2 linked regions of the Alligator mississippiensis genome follow. The protein of the gene in region 2 purifies or fractionates together with the protein of the main gene of each other region. This does not show direct contact. Links are inferred from orthologs where the notes say so. Each region holds a gene or a part of one and is shown on either strand. Other genes may lie near its edges.

Evidence for each region. The genes of interacting proteins can lie anywhere in the genome.
Region 1: the proteins of ARHGDIA (region 2) and EZR purify together in Homo sapiens (co-purification; 3 studies listed by BioGRID and IntAct, with this or other methods). This does not show direct contact. The link is inferred for Alligator mississippiensis from reciprocal best matches to the Homo sapiens genes ARHGDIA and EZR.

What each region holds. Positions count from the first base shown.
Region 1 is NC_081824.1:136,884,635-136,892,169, reverse strand, and holds the start of EZR (ezrin), read left to right. Parts: upstream 1-4,471; 5' UTR 4,472-4,732; coding exon 4,733-4,744; intron 4,745-7,535. UniProt on the Homo sapiens protein: Probably involved in connections of major cytoskeletal structures to the plasma membrane. In epithelial cells, required for the formation of microvilli and membrane ruffles on the apical pole. Along with PLEKHG6, required for normal macropinocytosis.
Region 2 is NC_081831.1:492,173-500,097, forward strand, and holds the start of ARHGDIA (rho GDP-dissociation inhibitor 1), read left to right. Parts: upstream 1-4,867; 5' UTR 4,868-4,975; intron 4,976-7,925. Other genes in the region: ALYREF (THO complex subunit 4), read left to right, coding at 16-163, 270-333, 524-698, 3,901-3,915. UniProt on the Homo sapiens protein: Controls Rho proteins homeostasis. Regulates the GDP/GTP exchange reaction of the Rho proteins by inhibiting the dissociation of GDP from them, and the subsequent binding of GTP to them.

The DNA of each region.
Region 1 (7,535 bases), on a different chromosome or scaffold from region 2:
GCCTCTCACTAGGTTCCTGGGACCCACACTCTCAGCCCCTCAATCTGGGCTCCAGACCCCTCCCTGGGTCCCTAGAAAGCCCCTTATCCCCTTAGTTCCTCCCCAAGCCTCCCTCCAGGTGTTACCCTCCATGTTGACCTTCTGGAGCTGCAGCCATCCTGCTGAGGTGGTGTTTTCTCAGCAGGCTCCACAAAATGCTACTGCTGGGTCATCTCGGGGCCTGGGCATATATCCTCCTCCTGGGTTGGGTGACTGCAATCAGCCCAAGCCATACCTGCAGGTTGCCCCAGCACTAGCCTGCCCACTTCTTAAAGTGGCAGGAGCATCAAGCCTCCTGCAACACTTAGCATAGGAAGGATTTAGGTGCCTTAGCAACAATTTACATGGAATTTAGGAGTCAATCCAGAACTGCAATCTTGAAAACTCCCGTTTTAAAATTCCAAGTGCTGAGGGCTGTAGTCTTCACATGCTTGATCCATATCTGAGTTACCTGGACCTTTATGCTACATTAAACTGAGCTTCATTCCTTCAAGGAGCTCCAAGCCAGTGGTCCCTGTATCCATAAAGAGTTACTCACAGGACTGATGGGGCAAAAAAATTTCATAAAATTTCTGCAGATGTCTGCTCCTGGATTCTTCAGACACAAAAAAAGGCTTATTTTGGCATTTTGCCATCCGATCACAGCCAGAAACAGGAGGAGCATACATAAAAATGAAAACTAATGGAAAGAAATAGCTTTGAAGCTAAAAAAATGTTCACTTAGAGTTCTAAGTGAAAGTTCATGTGTTGGGTTTTAAAAATATCCCAAACTTAGCATATTTATTTGTAATGCCTGCCAGAGTCTACCAAAAACATGGCTGACCTTTGGTCTGCTGCACAGCTAATGGCGCATGAATCTGAGCAGAATTTTGCAAAATTCCATCCAGGATGAATTCACATGTGTGACTGTTTAATATGTAGATGCTAAACATATAATTCCTGAACCCTCTGAAACTGGATAGTCCCTGCAGTATACAGGGGGACACTGGAATGGCTATGGCTATCCAACCCTCATTCACAAATAACTTACCTGCTTTCAGTGTATAGTTGATCCCACAGCCCTTTTCATAAGAGTTGGAGTTTCTGTGGTGGACTTAGCTAGATTCTCACCTCCGCTCTTACCCAGTCTGCTGGCCACCAGTACATTTCAGTGGTGCTTCAGGATCTTTCCTTAGGAAAGGTACATAAATGTGAAATACCGCCGGTCCCTTATTTGGCCCGTTGTATTTTACCCGCACTTCATTCATACACTTTCTTTCAAATCTTAGATGTGGTGGCATTTCATTTGCTCTGGCAGGGGTACTCCAATCATTGCTTGGTGGCATCTTGGTGGTCTCTTTGCGTACTGTTACGACTGTCTTTTCCCATCTACTCTCTAGTACTTGATTGGCCTTTTTGACCCAAATCATTTTTTCAGCTTGATTTTTTGCTCCTTCCTGTGTCCTATCTATATATTAGTGGTGTTTCATTGTGATCATGGAAAAATGTGGATTTTGGGTTCATTTTCTTAATCCAAAAATTGGGGATTTTTTTTAATCAGAGAAAACCAGGATCCCTGGTAATCAAGTCTCTTAGAGTTGGAGTGGGAGCTTTAAGGAAGACATGGGATATTGTAAAAGAGGTGAGAGTTGGTCACACTACTGCATCCAGTATCCCATGGACCTGCCTTCTGCCCTTTGGACCAGCCCAGTGTCAGGATGGAAGACACGGGGGACTTCAGTAAGCACATCTTGGCAAAATACCACATCCCCACAAGAATCAGAAATGGCTGCAAATAAATATAAACATCAGAATTGGGCCTTTAAATGTGAAAAGGCACACTTCAAACCAAAGCTGAAACCCTGCAGCGCAGCAGTCCTCAATTGATGCTGGCAAATAGCGCAATAAATTTAGACTGACCACACATGCAAAGTAATTATCTCTCAATTAACTGGTGAATCGCACAATAAATTTAGTCCAGCCACACTGTGAAAAATAATTATCACCAATAAAAATTACTATCCCGCTGTAACAAGAGCCAAGCAGCTATAAAGTTAGTGCTTAAAAATTATAACAATTCTATAGCTGGTTTCTAGACAGCTTTTAATTTGAACATGTACCAGGGCCCAGAGAGTCCCTACATATTGTCAAGCACTCACTGGTCAGCTCTTTTTATAGTTGGATAGTCCTTTTGATCCTGGGATAATTACTTTGCCCACCTTTGGCCAGTGTCAATTTATGGCATGATGAATTGTATGATATATCTAACGTGTAGCAGGGGCTTTGGTTGCACAACTCCTAGTGCTAACATTGGGTGGCAGCCCATTGCGCCTTTAGGGGCCCTGCTATACATTCAAATCAAAGCTGGATAGAAATCAGCTATAGACTTGTTAAACAATTTCAAGCACTAATTTCATAGCTGGTTGGCTCTTTTTAAAGTTGGATAGTCCTTTTGATGATGTGATGATTAGGGCCTTCCTAAAACTGGATAGAAACCAGCTATAACATTATTACACAGTTTCAAGCACTAACCTTACAGCTAGTTGACTCTTTTTATAGATGAATAGTCATTTTTGTGTGTTAATTACTTTGCCTGTTTAGCCAGTCTAAACTGATTGCATAATTCACCAGTTAGTTGCATAATATATATAACATGTTGCAGGGGCCTTATACCTTTACACCTATGGCTAGTCTGCATTTATTGCGTGATTTGCCAGTTCATTGTATGATCATTAGTTTGCATCTGTTGCTGGTCTACATTTATTGTGCGATTCACCCGTGCATTGAGTAAATGTAACATGCAATAGAGGCCTAAACTTTGCACCTCTGACTGACCTAAAGGTATTGTGCCATTCACCAGTTCCTGGTGTCATAGGTGCCAACTTTTATTTTGCCAAGGGTCGGGCGATAAGATGATGGACGTGGAAAGTTTTACACATTTCAGGTGACAGCCCTCTTCCCAAGGGGGGGCAGGGTTCTTAGGCCCCCACATACTTAGCACCTCTGCCTGGTGTGATCATTACTTTGCATGTGCAGCCTATCTACATTTATTGCATGAATAACCATGAGGTGCACAATAAATGTAATGTGCGGCAGGAGCCTTATAACTTTGCACCTGTGGCTGGTTTAAAGGTATCTCACCATTCTCTAGTTCATGGTGCGATCACTCTTTTGCACCTGTGGCCCCTCTACATATATTGTGGGATTCATCCATGCATAGTGTGATAAATGTAATGGGTGGCAGGTCCCTTATAGCTTTGTCTCTCTGCCTGGTCTAAAGGTATTCTGCCATTCCCCAGGTCATGGTGCCATCACTCCTTTGGCCCCTCTACATTTACTGCATGATTCCCGAGTTTGTGGTGTCATTGTTTCTTTGGCCCCTCTACATTTATTGCCCAATCCCCCGGTTCACGATGCGATGGATCCTTTGGCCCCCTACGTTTATGATGTGTGAGTCCACATTTCACTGTGTGATTGGTCCTTTGGCTTCTTTACATTTATTGCACAATTTTCTGGTTCGTGGCGTGAACACCCCTTTGACCCTGTGACCCATTTACATGTATTGCAGGACCCCCTGTGCCATTGTTCCTTTGCCCCTGTGGCCTATCTACATGCATCACTTGTGCACGGTATAATAAATGTAATGTGTGACAGGGGCAGGGCTGGTGAATCCCTGCTCTTGTGAGGACAGGTGCGGCTCCAAGCTGGGCTGGGGGGACACCAAGGACTACATCAGCGTGGAGGGGCGCTGCCCGGGCTCGCAGGTGCAGCTAGGGCAGATGCCCGGGCGCCCATTTCGTGGCTCCAGAAGACAAGCAGGGTCTCGGGAGCAAGTGCCCTGAGCAGCTGCAGCCCCCCCTCTTGCCTGCCCCTTCCAGCCCTGCAGCCACACGCATCCCACCTCTGCACACATACACAACACACACCACACTCCTTCCAGGAAGAGCACACACCAACTGCTGCAGCTTCCTGAGCCTGACGAAGGGTTTTTGAACCCAAAAGCTTGCTTAATAACGATTCTCCAACCATTTGGGTTGGTCTAATAAAAGATATCAAATTCACCCAAGGAACCTTGTCTGCCTATGTCCTTAGACCAACACGGCTACAACCTAAACCCCTACCACACTCCCTCCACACCCATGCAACCACACTCCCTCCACACACATACACACCCACGCAAACACACTCCCTCTGCACACGTGCACAGCCACACTCCCTCCACACACGGACAGCACACACCGCACTCCCTCCAGACGTGCACAACACGCACAACCACACTCCCTACACACACAACACAACACAACACAACACACATTTGGGACAACTCCGCATTTGAGACCCCCCCGCGCAAAGCGGCGCTGTGAGGAGGCGAGGCCGGGCCGGACCGGGCCCGCAGTCCCGGCCCGGCCCCGCCCGCACCTGCGCGGACTGTCCTGGAGGCCGGGGCGTGTCGGCCGCCCTGCTGCGGCACCCAGGGCGAGGTGGGGCGGCAGGAAAGGCCGGGCCCGGGCATGAATCACCCTCGCGCTCCGCTTCCCTCCCCCCGGCCCTGCCCTTAAGAGCCAGCCGGGGCCTCCGCCCGCGAGTGCTTGTCGGGGCAGCCAAGAGCTGCGAGCGCCTCCTCGCCCAGCTCCGTGCCGCGCCGCGCCCGGCAACCAGCTGCTGCCGCCTTCTGCCGCCTCGGCTCTGGCCCCTACCCCTGCTCGCAGCCACCATGCCCAAGCCGGTGAGTGCCTGCTTTGTGTCCTAGCCCCCGGCCTGCTCCTGCCTGCCGGGCAGGGCTGTGGTACTGGAGACCTCCGCATTTGAGACCCCGCGTTTGGGGCTTTTGGATACACCCTCCGCTAAGCCTGTGTCGTCCTCGAGCTCGAAAGTTAGCGCTGGGAAATGTGCTCTTTCTTTCTTTTGGCGCGCGCTTCTTTTCTTTTTCCACGTCGAGGTGCGTGCCGGTTGTACCGTGATGCGTGAGCCCCCTCCTGGGCTTTCGGCTAAGCCATTTTTATAGGAATAGTTGTAAATGATACTTGCTCTGCACTAAGCCGGTCTGGCAAGCAAGGGATAAGCCCTGGGAGAGAAGGAGTTGTGTGTTCCTGACCAGTAAGTAAAATGGCACTTGCCTGGTTCAGCTCTTGGGGCTAGAGTCTGTGCCTGGGCTGCCAAACCTCCGGGATGGCTTTTCAAGCCTGTCACGAAGCAGTAGGTGTAGGCACTCCCAGGAGCATCCCTCTTGTGTGGCGGGGAAAAGAGAAGCTATAAGCTGGGGTCAGAAACGTGACTGAGGCTCCATCTAAGGTGCAGGGGTGGGGGGTGTGAACAGAAAGGTGACTGACGTTCAGTCTTAGTTGCTCCCCTTACATGCGTGTCTGTGTGTAAAGAGGAGCAACTTTCAGACTCGGCCTCAGTCACTTTGCATGCGCACACATACACACCTTAGACTGAGCCTCAGTCACCTTTATGTGCATATGCGCACACACACGTATGTGTGCGTACAGAAAGGTAACTGAGGCTCAGTCCAAGTGGGTGGGTGGGTGTGTATGGGGTGAAGGGGGCGGGGGGGTTTCAAAAGTTGCTTTCTGTTAAAAACCGGACAGAGGCAACCACTTATTCTTTCTGCAAGCACCGAATGAAACTTTCATGTGCATACTTAGCATTCGCGTATAGGTCGCTTCTAGGACAAACGCATCTGGGACCTCATTTTGAAAGGCATTGGACACCCGCAACTCCATCTAAGCTCAATGGGAACTGTACAGGCCTTGTACCACTGAAACTCGGGTCTCTTCTGGATTGCAGGACTGTCATCAGCTGCTCTTTAGATTAGAAAAAAAGCTCATTTTTAAAAGAAGAAAAGGTCAAATAATGCATTTCCTGTTATATTCTAAAATGCTTATAGGTTGATAGGAAGGTATTGAATAATTGAAAAAGGAGGGATGTTATTACACTCCCAAATCTAACTTTTAGAGTTAATGCTATCTAAGATGATAAAGCTGCAACTAATTATTCATTTATCTTGTTTCCCAATATAAAAGGAAGAGTACTTGGTCAAACAGTTGGCAGGAAGCACTATTGCATTTAAGGAGCCTGATCTGAAATGTTTCCTTTAAAGAAGTCAGAGGCAGAATTGCTCCCCTAAGCAAGCCTGGTCTGCTTTATCTTCCATACTGTTGCATTCATTTTTATAAATGTTATCCTGGAAAATGTGTTGTTATTTGTGAACTTCCATACTATCAGCAGCCACTTGCTTAAAGGAGCAAGAGCAGTGATTCCCAACCAGGGTGCTGCAGCACCCTGAGGTGCCTCAATAACCTTTTGTGGGTGCCATGGGGTGCTACACAATGGTAGCAGTGTTGTTAGATGTGTAAATATGATTCACAGTATAAACCCAAATGGAAATCCATAGTGTTTAAAAACATTCTGACCTGTTGTGGCTTTTTTAAGGTCTTTGCAACAGAAGAATTTCTCTTTTTCTATAGTTTTAAATATTGAGTGAAAACTAACAGCTGACATTTTTTTCTAAGGGGTGCCTTGAATCCAAGATGGTTGAGAACCAGTGGTCTAGAGGTCTGAATCAAAGCTTGAGTTGAGTGAGATTTGGATCAGGTCCTTCCAATAACTGGCCGTGGGAACAGATTGCTAACTGTGAAGGACAAAGTCAGCGTGGATGCCTGTTGCTGCATATCTTCAATAGAGGCTTGTCATCAATTTACCTTTTAGAAATGCAGTGGAACAGCTGTGGCAAGTTAGTCCTTTTTTTCCACTGTTGCTCTGACTGCAAAAAAATGGCTGGTCAGATTTTATTTTCTGATAAGCAGCCACTATCATTCAACCCAACATAACAGCAGTGTGTTGTAATTACATTTTTAGTGGCAGATATGCTATTGCTCAAGGTTAACCGTGGATGTATGTGTATGTTGTTAAAAAATTATTGTTTACTAGTACACTAATTTCTCTGAATGTTTCTGTGAGGGGAGGAAACACCCCGTTCTATTAAAGACATGGAGCAGTGTCAATTTACCAAGTCTTTCTTGCAGAACCTCTCCTCCACGCCCCCCAGATCTTGAATTTTCCCAGTAAATTGTATTGGCAGTTTTACCTAGTTCACAGTCTGCATAACAGGAATATATTTTCTCAGTCAGGTGTTGAGAGAGCTTTAGAGTTAATCCATTCTGTCCTCTTTCTCGTTCCTTGTTATTTCTTCAATTTGCAGGCTGTTTTTGGTACATGATATAAAAACGATATAGCTTGCCTTGAAAGTGTGGGGGTTTTTTTGTTTTGTTTTGCTTTTTGAATAAAACCCCCCAAAAAACAAACCTGCAGAGGACTAGCATGTAAACTTATATAGTTTACCCAAAGTGGCTTTGGGGAACAAAGTTTATGAAGTCGCACAGTCAGAATAATCTGAACTCCAGGGCTTTGATTAATTTATGCTGAAAGCCAGTGATGCTTGTGGACAGATTTTTTTTTTTTATCTAATCAACAAAAGCTGCTTACAACCATGTTCTTAATTTTATGTGGGCTGA
Region 2 (7,925 bases):
CTCTCTGTTTTTCAGGAACTCTTTGCAGAGTTTGGGACCTTGAAGAAGGCGGCAGTACATTATGACCGGTCTGGACGCAGTTTAGGGACGGCAGATGTACACTTTGAAAGAAAGGCAGATGCTCTGAAGGCGATGAAGCAGTACAATGGTGTCCCCTTGGATGGTGAGTGTGCCTGGCTCTTTCCAGGGGACACTTGATTCAGTAGGGGAAGGATTTTAGTTGCCAGTGCCACTGGCAGAAATTTGTATTCCGTTTTCCCCTCTCCCAGGGCGCCCCATGAACATCCAACTGGTCACATCACAGATAGACACACAGAGGAGACCAATACAAAGGTGAGATGTTTTGTCTCATGGGGCCTGGGTGACTCGTTCTCTTCATGTGGGCAGTGAATTTGTGTAGCCTGCTTCTGTAGGAAGATGGCTTTGGGCTTCAGGTCTGTCCTTGCAGCACTTTCCTGGTGGTTGGGTTTCCTTGTGGTGGGACTGTGCCATGACTAACAAAACTGCTTTCTCTGCTTCACAGTGTAAACAGAGGTGGCATGACCAGAACCCGTGGGTCAGGATTTGGTGGTGGAGGCAGTAACAGGCGAGGTAGCCGTGGTGGGAACAGAGGGAGAGGCAGAGGAACAGGAAGAAGTTCAAAGCAGCAACTCTCTGCAGAAGAATTAGATGCACAGTTGGATGCTTACAATGCCAGGGTAAGTACAGGTTCCCTGGGTGGAGTTTGTATGTGTACATCAGTCCTCAACAGTCTACAGCTGTTTGCCAGAATGATGGGCCAAATGTGTCTCCTCGAGACTGGTCAGTACCTGGTTCCTGAATTGTCTTATTCAGAAGTAAGAAGTGGCCCTCGGGGACCAGCTTTTCAACAGGCAGAGGCCTGTTTGGGCCAGACTCTCCTGTCAGTGCTGCACATTACTGTCTGTGAAGATCTGGGTCCACTCTTTGTGGGTGAGGGGAAGAGCTGGGGCAAAGAGCTTGACCTAGTGTGACCTGATGCTGAAGGCTAGCAGAGAAGGGCTGCATCATTGGAGGCACATCTGGTGTTGTCCCCCTGCCCCTTCAAATAAAGGGGCCAGCAACCGCACTCAGCAGGGCAGCCTCCACTGACTGAATGAATGCATGCAGTGGAGCTGTCCTAAAGGAGAAAGCAGGCCTATGATTAGACTGGGAAATGTAGGTAATGGATCTAAAGAATTGGGTGCCTGCAGCTAGTCTGTTAACAACAGCTTAGATCAGGGGTGGGCAAAATGCAGCCCGTGGACTGAATCTGGCCTGCCAAGGGATTTTATTCAGTCTGCAGGGGGTCCCTCGGCCCCACCTAGCCCAGATGTGGTGGGCAGCCTGGACTGCAGTGCATGTGGTCAGTCCTGCCACCCCCGGGCATGCAGCAGGGCTGGGGCAGTACAGTGGCTGGACTCTGCTTGCCAGCCAGAGGAGCTGCTGCTGCCACTAAATCTAGGTACCATGATCTGTGCTGCGCCCCCCCGCCCCCCGAGGAGCAAGACGGAGCAGGTGGGAAGGGTCTCCAGGGAGACAGACCCAGGACCCTGTAGGCAGGGTGCACTCTGCTGGACAATGGGATGGGGGTGCAGGGGGCAGTGTCTGGAAGCAGGATGGGTGAGGTCAGGCCCAGGATCATGGGGCCTTACTGGGGGCGGATCGCGGCTTTACCCCCGGCCTCCTGCTCTCTTCCTGCCCACAGCCCCATCCTATTCACTCAGCTGACTGTGGGGGAGACCCTGCCCACTCTGTCTGGTGCCCCCCCAGACCAGTTTAGTAATCTATCACTTGAGGACTCTTGGTGAGCTGTTGTGGGCTAGGGGGTGCTGACCTAGCTTGCAAGAGCTCGCCAAAACTTCCTAGCCCAATTATTTGCCCACCCCTGGCTTAGACTGTGAGGCTTTCAGGCTCCTGTTAACGAGCATGTGGGCATGTGCTATGTGAAAGTCTCCTAGATAAGGGGAAGTGATCGGCAAACTGACTGCCATTTCAGACTCTAGTCCTTGCTAAGAGACACATTGGGAGGTATGTGAAGAACGAAGCAGAGCAAATGTGCCCATTTATCAGAATAAGAGTGACCTGGGCAGGTTTTGTCTAGTACATGCTGGAAAAACTTTTATTAAACCACTTCTAGGCATTTAACAGATAACGAAGACATGAGCAGCAAGTAGCATGATGGGTTTGTACAGGACATCTTGATGGGCAGCTCGATGGCTCTCTTGCAGAACTACAGTGATAGCGGGGGGAAATGGAGTTGGCCAGACCTCATGCGACTTAATTCACAAGCTGGAAGCTTAGCATGGAACAGGCTTAAACTATATTGTAGCAGAGCTAGCTGCTGTGAAAACACTTCCAGTGAGGACCCCTAGGCTTGATCTATGTTGGGACCAGTGTTCGAGAGGAGTGAACAGAGCACTTGAGTTGTTCCTAGGGATGTTTTAAAAGGGCTGGCGGGGTGAGTGACACGGGGCCCTAGGCCTGAGGAGACCAGCTGCCAGAAATGCAGGAGTCAGCACACAGGACTGTCACTGTATGGTCAGTGTGACGTTGGTTTGCATCTGCAAAGCAAGGAGGAAGTAGCAAGGGCCTGGTGTTATTGCAGGTCACGTGCTGAATCTACACCAGCAGCGTGACTGGCTGACAAAGGCTTATTTTACCAGTGCTTCACTAGCAAAGAAAACTACTAAATCGTGCGTGCGCTGAATGCTTGTGGCTGCCGCCAGGCTTGAGCAGCAGTGCTGCGGAGTGCTCTCTCCCAGGCGGTGTTATGAATGTCTGAAACCTAACTGGTTTAATGTCAGTATGTTGCTACTGTCCGTGGTGGTAGAAGTGCCCCCCCACCTGTAACACCTCATCCTTAACGCCTCCTTCTGCATCCTTGGCAGCCAAGAATCCCACCTGCACTACCCAGCTCAACTGCCTCTTGCGCCAGCAGGTGCATGTGGCACAGGCCTGTTTCTTTGACCCCTGTCCTGAGCCGTTTCCTCTACATTGCTCAGGCTGTTCACCCCTTGCTACTGCTTGCTGAGACCTGTTCTCCCATTGCCATGGCAACCTTGCCCTGAAAAACTGCTTACCAGCCTTATGACAGCCCCAACCTGGAGTGCTGGAGCCTGGCTTCTGTCTGCTGCCCCCCCCATGTGCTCTGGGGGGCCATGCCACGAGTAGAGCTGCAGGTACCGGTCGTGGTAGGGGCTGAACTGCGCAACACGGCAGCCAGATTCTCCAGGGCAGTTTCTGCAGTTGTTTGTACTGTGGACACACACCTGCAGGACACAGAAAACTAAGATGGGCACCTGTTAACGTGAAGCTAATACTAAAAACAAGTAATGCAGCATGCCCCGGACTGCCTGCGTGCTTCATAATTCAGGAGGGCTGCTCTCACTACGCACTTCCTGTATCTGAGAAGGGTGGGGTGTGCCTTGCCTTTTAAACATTACTGGGAAGAACAGGATGAAAATAAGAGGGTGACGGAGGAGGAGAGCTGGAGCTGGATTTCGGGGGGGAGGGGGAATAGTACAACCTCTGAGATGTGCTGGGCTTCCCTCTCAGGTGGTGGAAATGAAATGGGGTCTCTTAAAACTAGACAGGGGTGCTGGGAAAGAGGGGAAGGGAGAGCAGGGTCTTGCCCACCTTGGAGAAGTGCACCAGTCAGTTCATTTTTAAAGTGTGCCCAGTTAGGCGGGTTCACACCTAATGCATTTCAGCCAGTTTGACCCTTTCTTCCCATATTGGTATGTTCCAGTGGAAGCAGCTGGCTCTAAACTGATCATGAACGGGACTGAGGCTCTGGCTAAGCTCGGGTTGAACCGGAAAGCTTTGTGCGAGCACGCTCCATAGGTCCTCTTTGCCTTGCCCATGGCACAGCCGAGTAACTGCACTTCACTCTTGTTCTAGATGGACACCAGCTAAAGCAGCGAGCACGTCCCCTGCATGGAAAGGACTCCAGACATCTCATTCCATGCTCTCCGGAGGGAGGGGTGTACGACTGTGGCTACTACTATCAAGGACGGAATTTGTTTTACTTTTATGTTTTGGAATAGGTTTTAAACTCATGTAAAGGTTTTTTTTAATTCTGAAACAGACCTGTTTTGTACCGAGTTATTTTTGGGAAAAATTTTACTGGTTGCCTGTTGGGCGGAGGTGGCTTTTTCACCTTTGCCGTAATAAAATAGAAATGTGTCTAGATCTGTAAATGTTTGCTTCCTGTTGCAGCTGGAGCCGAGGAGCGGAGTCAGCGGGCGGCAGGAGCGTGAGCGGGTGGGAGGTGGTGGGCAGGCCTCTGTCGCATCCCGTGCTGAGGGCCGAGTCCCTTGCCCTCCGGAGGAGGCTACTGTTCTGCCTTGGCTCTTTTCCCCTCCCCAGCGTCAGTGCGAGCTGTGTGCGTGCAGCTGCGGGGGGAGCCGCCCTGCCCTAGCTGCAGGGACACGAGAGTGCAGCGTGTGGCGGGAGGGCCCGGACCCCGCTGCTGCACCAAGCCTGGCTGCGAGGGGCCCAGGAAAGACTTGGTCTTTCAGTGACCCCCCGCCCCCTGCTCGTTTCTCGGGGGGGCCTCGTGTGCCCCTTTCCGCCCCCCGGAGCCCTGCCGGGTGGGGCTGCTCCACGTGCTGCCGCGATCCGTCCCCCCCCCCCCCCGCCTATTTCCCGCCCGGTGACGTCACGGCAGGGGCGGGGCTCGGGCTGCCGCCTCCACTTTATTGCCACAGGCGCTTCCGGTTGCGGACAGCCCGCCATGCTTCTCGCAGGGGCGCTCCCTCCGGCGCCCGAACTCTATGGTCCCTCCCCCAGCGGTCGCATGCCCAGTCCCGTCTGGCCAATCAGCGTCGCGAGCCGGGCCGGAAGTGAGGCACTTGGGGTCGGCCTCATATAACAGGAAGTGACGGGCGTGTCCCGGAAGTGCGAGGGCACGCAGCGGCGGTGGGGCGGATCCGGGCGGCGGTGTCAGTGCAGCTCGGAGCAGCGAACGGGCCGGGTAGGGCGGGGCGGGGCGGGGCTGCGACCTCTCGTGCCCAGGCCCAGGCCCAGGCCCGGGGCCACGGGCGGGGCGGGGCGCCCGGGTCCTGCTCCCGCCAGTGCTGCGGCCTCCGCGCGCGGGGCCTGGGGGCGTCTCCGGGGTCACGGCGGCTCCCGGTCCCGCTCCGCCGCGGGGGCGCGTCTGTGCCGAGGTCTCGCCGGGCCTGCCCCCGGGCGCGGCCCCCCACAAAAGCCGGGCCCGGCGTCGGCGGGTCCGTGCGCCGCTGTCGGCCCGCGGGTGCCTGGGAGCCCCCGGCCCGGCCGCGCTCGCCCCTCGGGCCCCGCTCGCAGCCGCGTGCTCCCGCTCCCCCTGCCCCCGCGGAGGCAGCGGCGTCCCCGGGCCGGCCTCGCAGCCGCTTGCGCCAGAGCGGAGCCCGAGGAGACGGGATGGGCTCGCAGGCCGTTGTCCTCCCTCCCTCCCTCCCTCGCTGGCTGTCTGGCTGGCTGGCAGACCCGAGCGGGGTCGGGCGGCCCTGGCGGCGGGGCTGCCTCTGCTCGGTGCAAGGAGCCCGGCAGAAAGGCTCTGGAGGCGGCAGGCTCCCTCCGTCACAACCGGGTCACGGACGCACACGATGCAGGCGCCGGCGCCTGCTTGCTGCCCCTCCCCGGTGCCAGGCTCGCGGGCGCCCCGGGGCCGACCAGCAAGACCGCGGGGCCCGGCTGCCTCTGTCGTCCGTCCGTCCGTCCGTGGGCTCCTGGGGGTTGCCCCGGTGCCCCCACCCCCTCGCTGCCCGTGCCGCCGGGCCTAGGACTTGAGCAGAGCCCGGGCGCTGTTTCCAGGGCAGGCGTGGGTTGGGACGCTCGGATACTTCCTTTCGTGCCCGTGGCTGGCCGATGGGCTCGATGTCGGAGCTGGCCTGCAGCCCGCTTGGCTGGTCTGGCTCGTCCCCGCGCCGGGCCCAGGACAGCGTGGCCCTTTAGCAAGGTGTCCTGGGGCTGGCTCGAGTCGTCTGTCCCTGAGCGCTTGGCCGGAGGGGCCTCGGCTTCCCACCTCCCCGCTGAGAGCACGCGTGCGCCGGCTGCAGTCCCCAGGGGCTGTCTGCCAGGAGCCTGGGGATCCCGGCTGCAGGGTGCCCGAGCGTGGGTGGGCACAGAGACCCCAGGGGAGTCCGACGGCACTGCTGCTGCAGTCTCTTCGTGCTCCTGAGAGCCACGGGCGGGAGCGGTTTCGTGCTGGGAGGCTCAGGAGCTGCGTTCTGCCTCGGGCGCAGGGTGAGAGTCCTGTCCTGCCCCCTGCTGAGGCTGCGGGGAAGTGCCGGTGAGTCATTTTTCCCCTCTGCTCGAGGGCTGGCTTCCTTGTTGGTGCTGCGATGGCGAGGGCCGAGGCTTGCTGCGGGGAAAGGCATTGCCCCCTTGCCCTTGGGCTCCCTCGCCAGGCTTGCATTGCAAGGAGGGTGCTGAGCAGCTCCGTGGGTTTGCCTGCGAAAGGCCGCTCTGGGTGCATGTAGGGTTTCCTGGGGGCTTTTCCTTGCAGCACTGCTAGCTGTGGGTTGTCATGGTGACAGGTTAAGGAGGGCGTGTGCAGGCTGGGGGAGGTCTGGAGCGGGGAGAATCCCTGCAGCTGCACGTGGTGCGAGATGCCCCCGAGTCTCTTGTGCTGGCGCCTGCAGCTGTTTGCGTTGGCAGGGCTTCCCTTGCGCTGCTCTGCCTTCCCGGGCTGGGAAGGGAGAACCCAGGGCAGCAGCAGGTGCCTGCGGCCTGTGACCCACTGGTCTGGGGAGATCCTGGAGGAGGGTCTCCTGTGCGGCGGAGGTGGGTGCTGCCTGGTGCTGCAGGAGCGGAGCAGCCTGCGGTCACCCGCGCTGGCAGGCAGTAGCACAACTTGGGGCCGCAAGGCCGTGCGGTGTGGGAGCTATTGATCGGGGTGGGAGCCTGCAAAGCGGTGAGGAGCCCAGGCTCTTTGAGGGGGGCGTCTCCATGCATTGGTGCCCCTTGCCCGCATGGCGGCCATTAGCAGGACCTGTGTGCGGAGGTCAGCAGCTAGGGAGGAGCTGTGGTTGTCTATGCCCAGGTCCTGGTGCGTCAGCTGCTGCAGGCGCCACTTTGCTGGAGGTTGCACCGGTGCCCCGCTGCAGCTGGGACGCCTGAGCATGGGCCTCGGGGCCCCTGGTAGCTGGCGCGGTCAGTCTGGGTGGCCTGGCAGTGTGGTCTGCCCAGCTCTGAGCACCAGGAAGCAGAGGCCAAGAGCATGTTGCCACCAGCCCTCTCTGTCCAACTGACCTGGGCTGTACAGGCGCTTCCCCTCAGCGGCTGGAGGAAGAGCCCCGGCCTCGGGGAGGCTTCGTGACAGTCTCCTTCCTGCCTGGTTTGGCGCCTTCCCTGGGGAAGCTGCCAAGGAGCTGTGACTGGGGCGGGGGGGGGCGGCGCGCTGGGACGAGCTGCTGGGCGTGGGCAGGGCAGGGCAGGAGGTGGCAGCGGGAGCCTCTGGGGTGGGTGGGTGGGTGGGCGGGCTGTGCCGAGCCTTGGGCCCCTCTATCCGGCTGGGCACACGTGGCCCCTCCCGGCACCGCCAGCCCAGGCCCGAGTGAGTTCCTTGCCCTCCGCCTGCGTGGTAGCACTCTGCTTCCAGTGCCTCGCCGGGGGGTGGGCAGCCCCCAGGACCCGGCACTGAGGTGTCCTTCCCTGAGCTACAACTTGCTGGGCCTGGAGTTGTCCTCACTGTCAGTGCTGGCAGGGGGCTGCTGGGGCCCGTGGTACCCACAGGAGTCCCAGCCATGTGGAGCGTGGTGCTGGGGGCCACCAGGCTTGCTTTGGAGGGGGCAGTGCTGGGCTGGTGGTTACCTGATGCTGGACGTAAGGGCTTGGCCCTTCATAGGAAGCTGCTCCCCAGTAACGTCCGAAACGTGGCCACACCCAGGCTGTGTCCCGCCAGCTCCCTGCGCCCAGTGCTGCAGCCTGCGCTGGCTTGG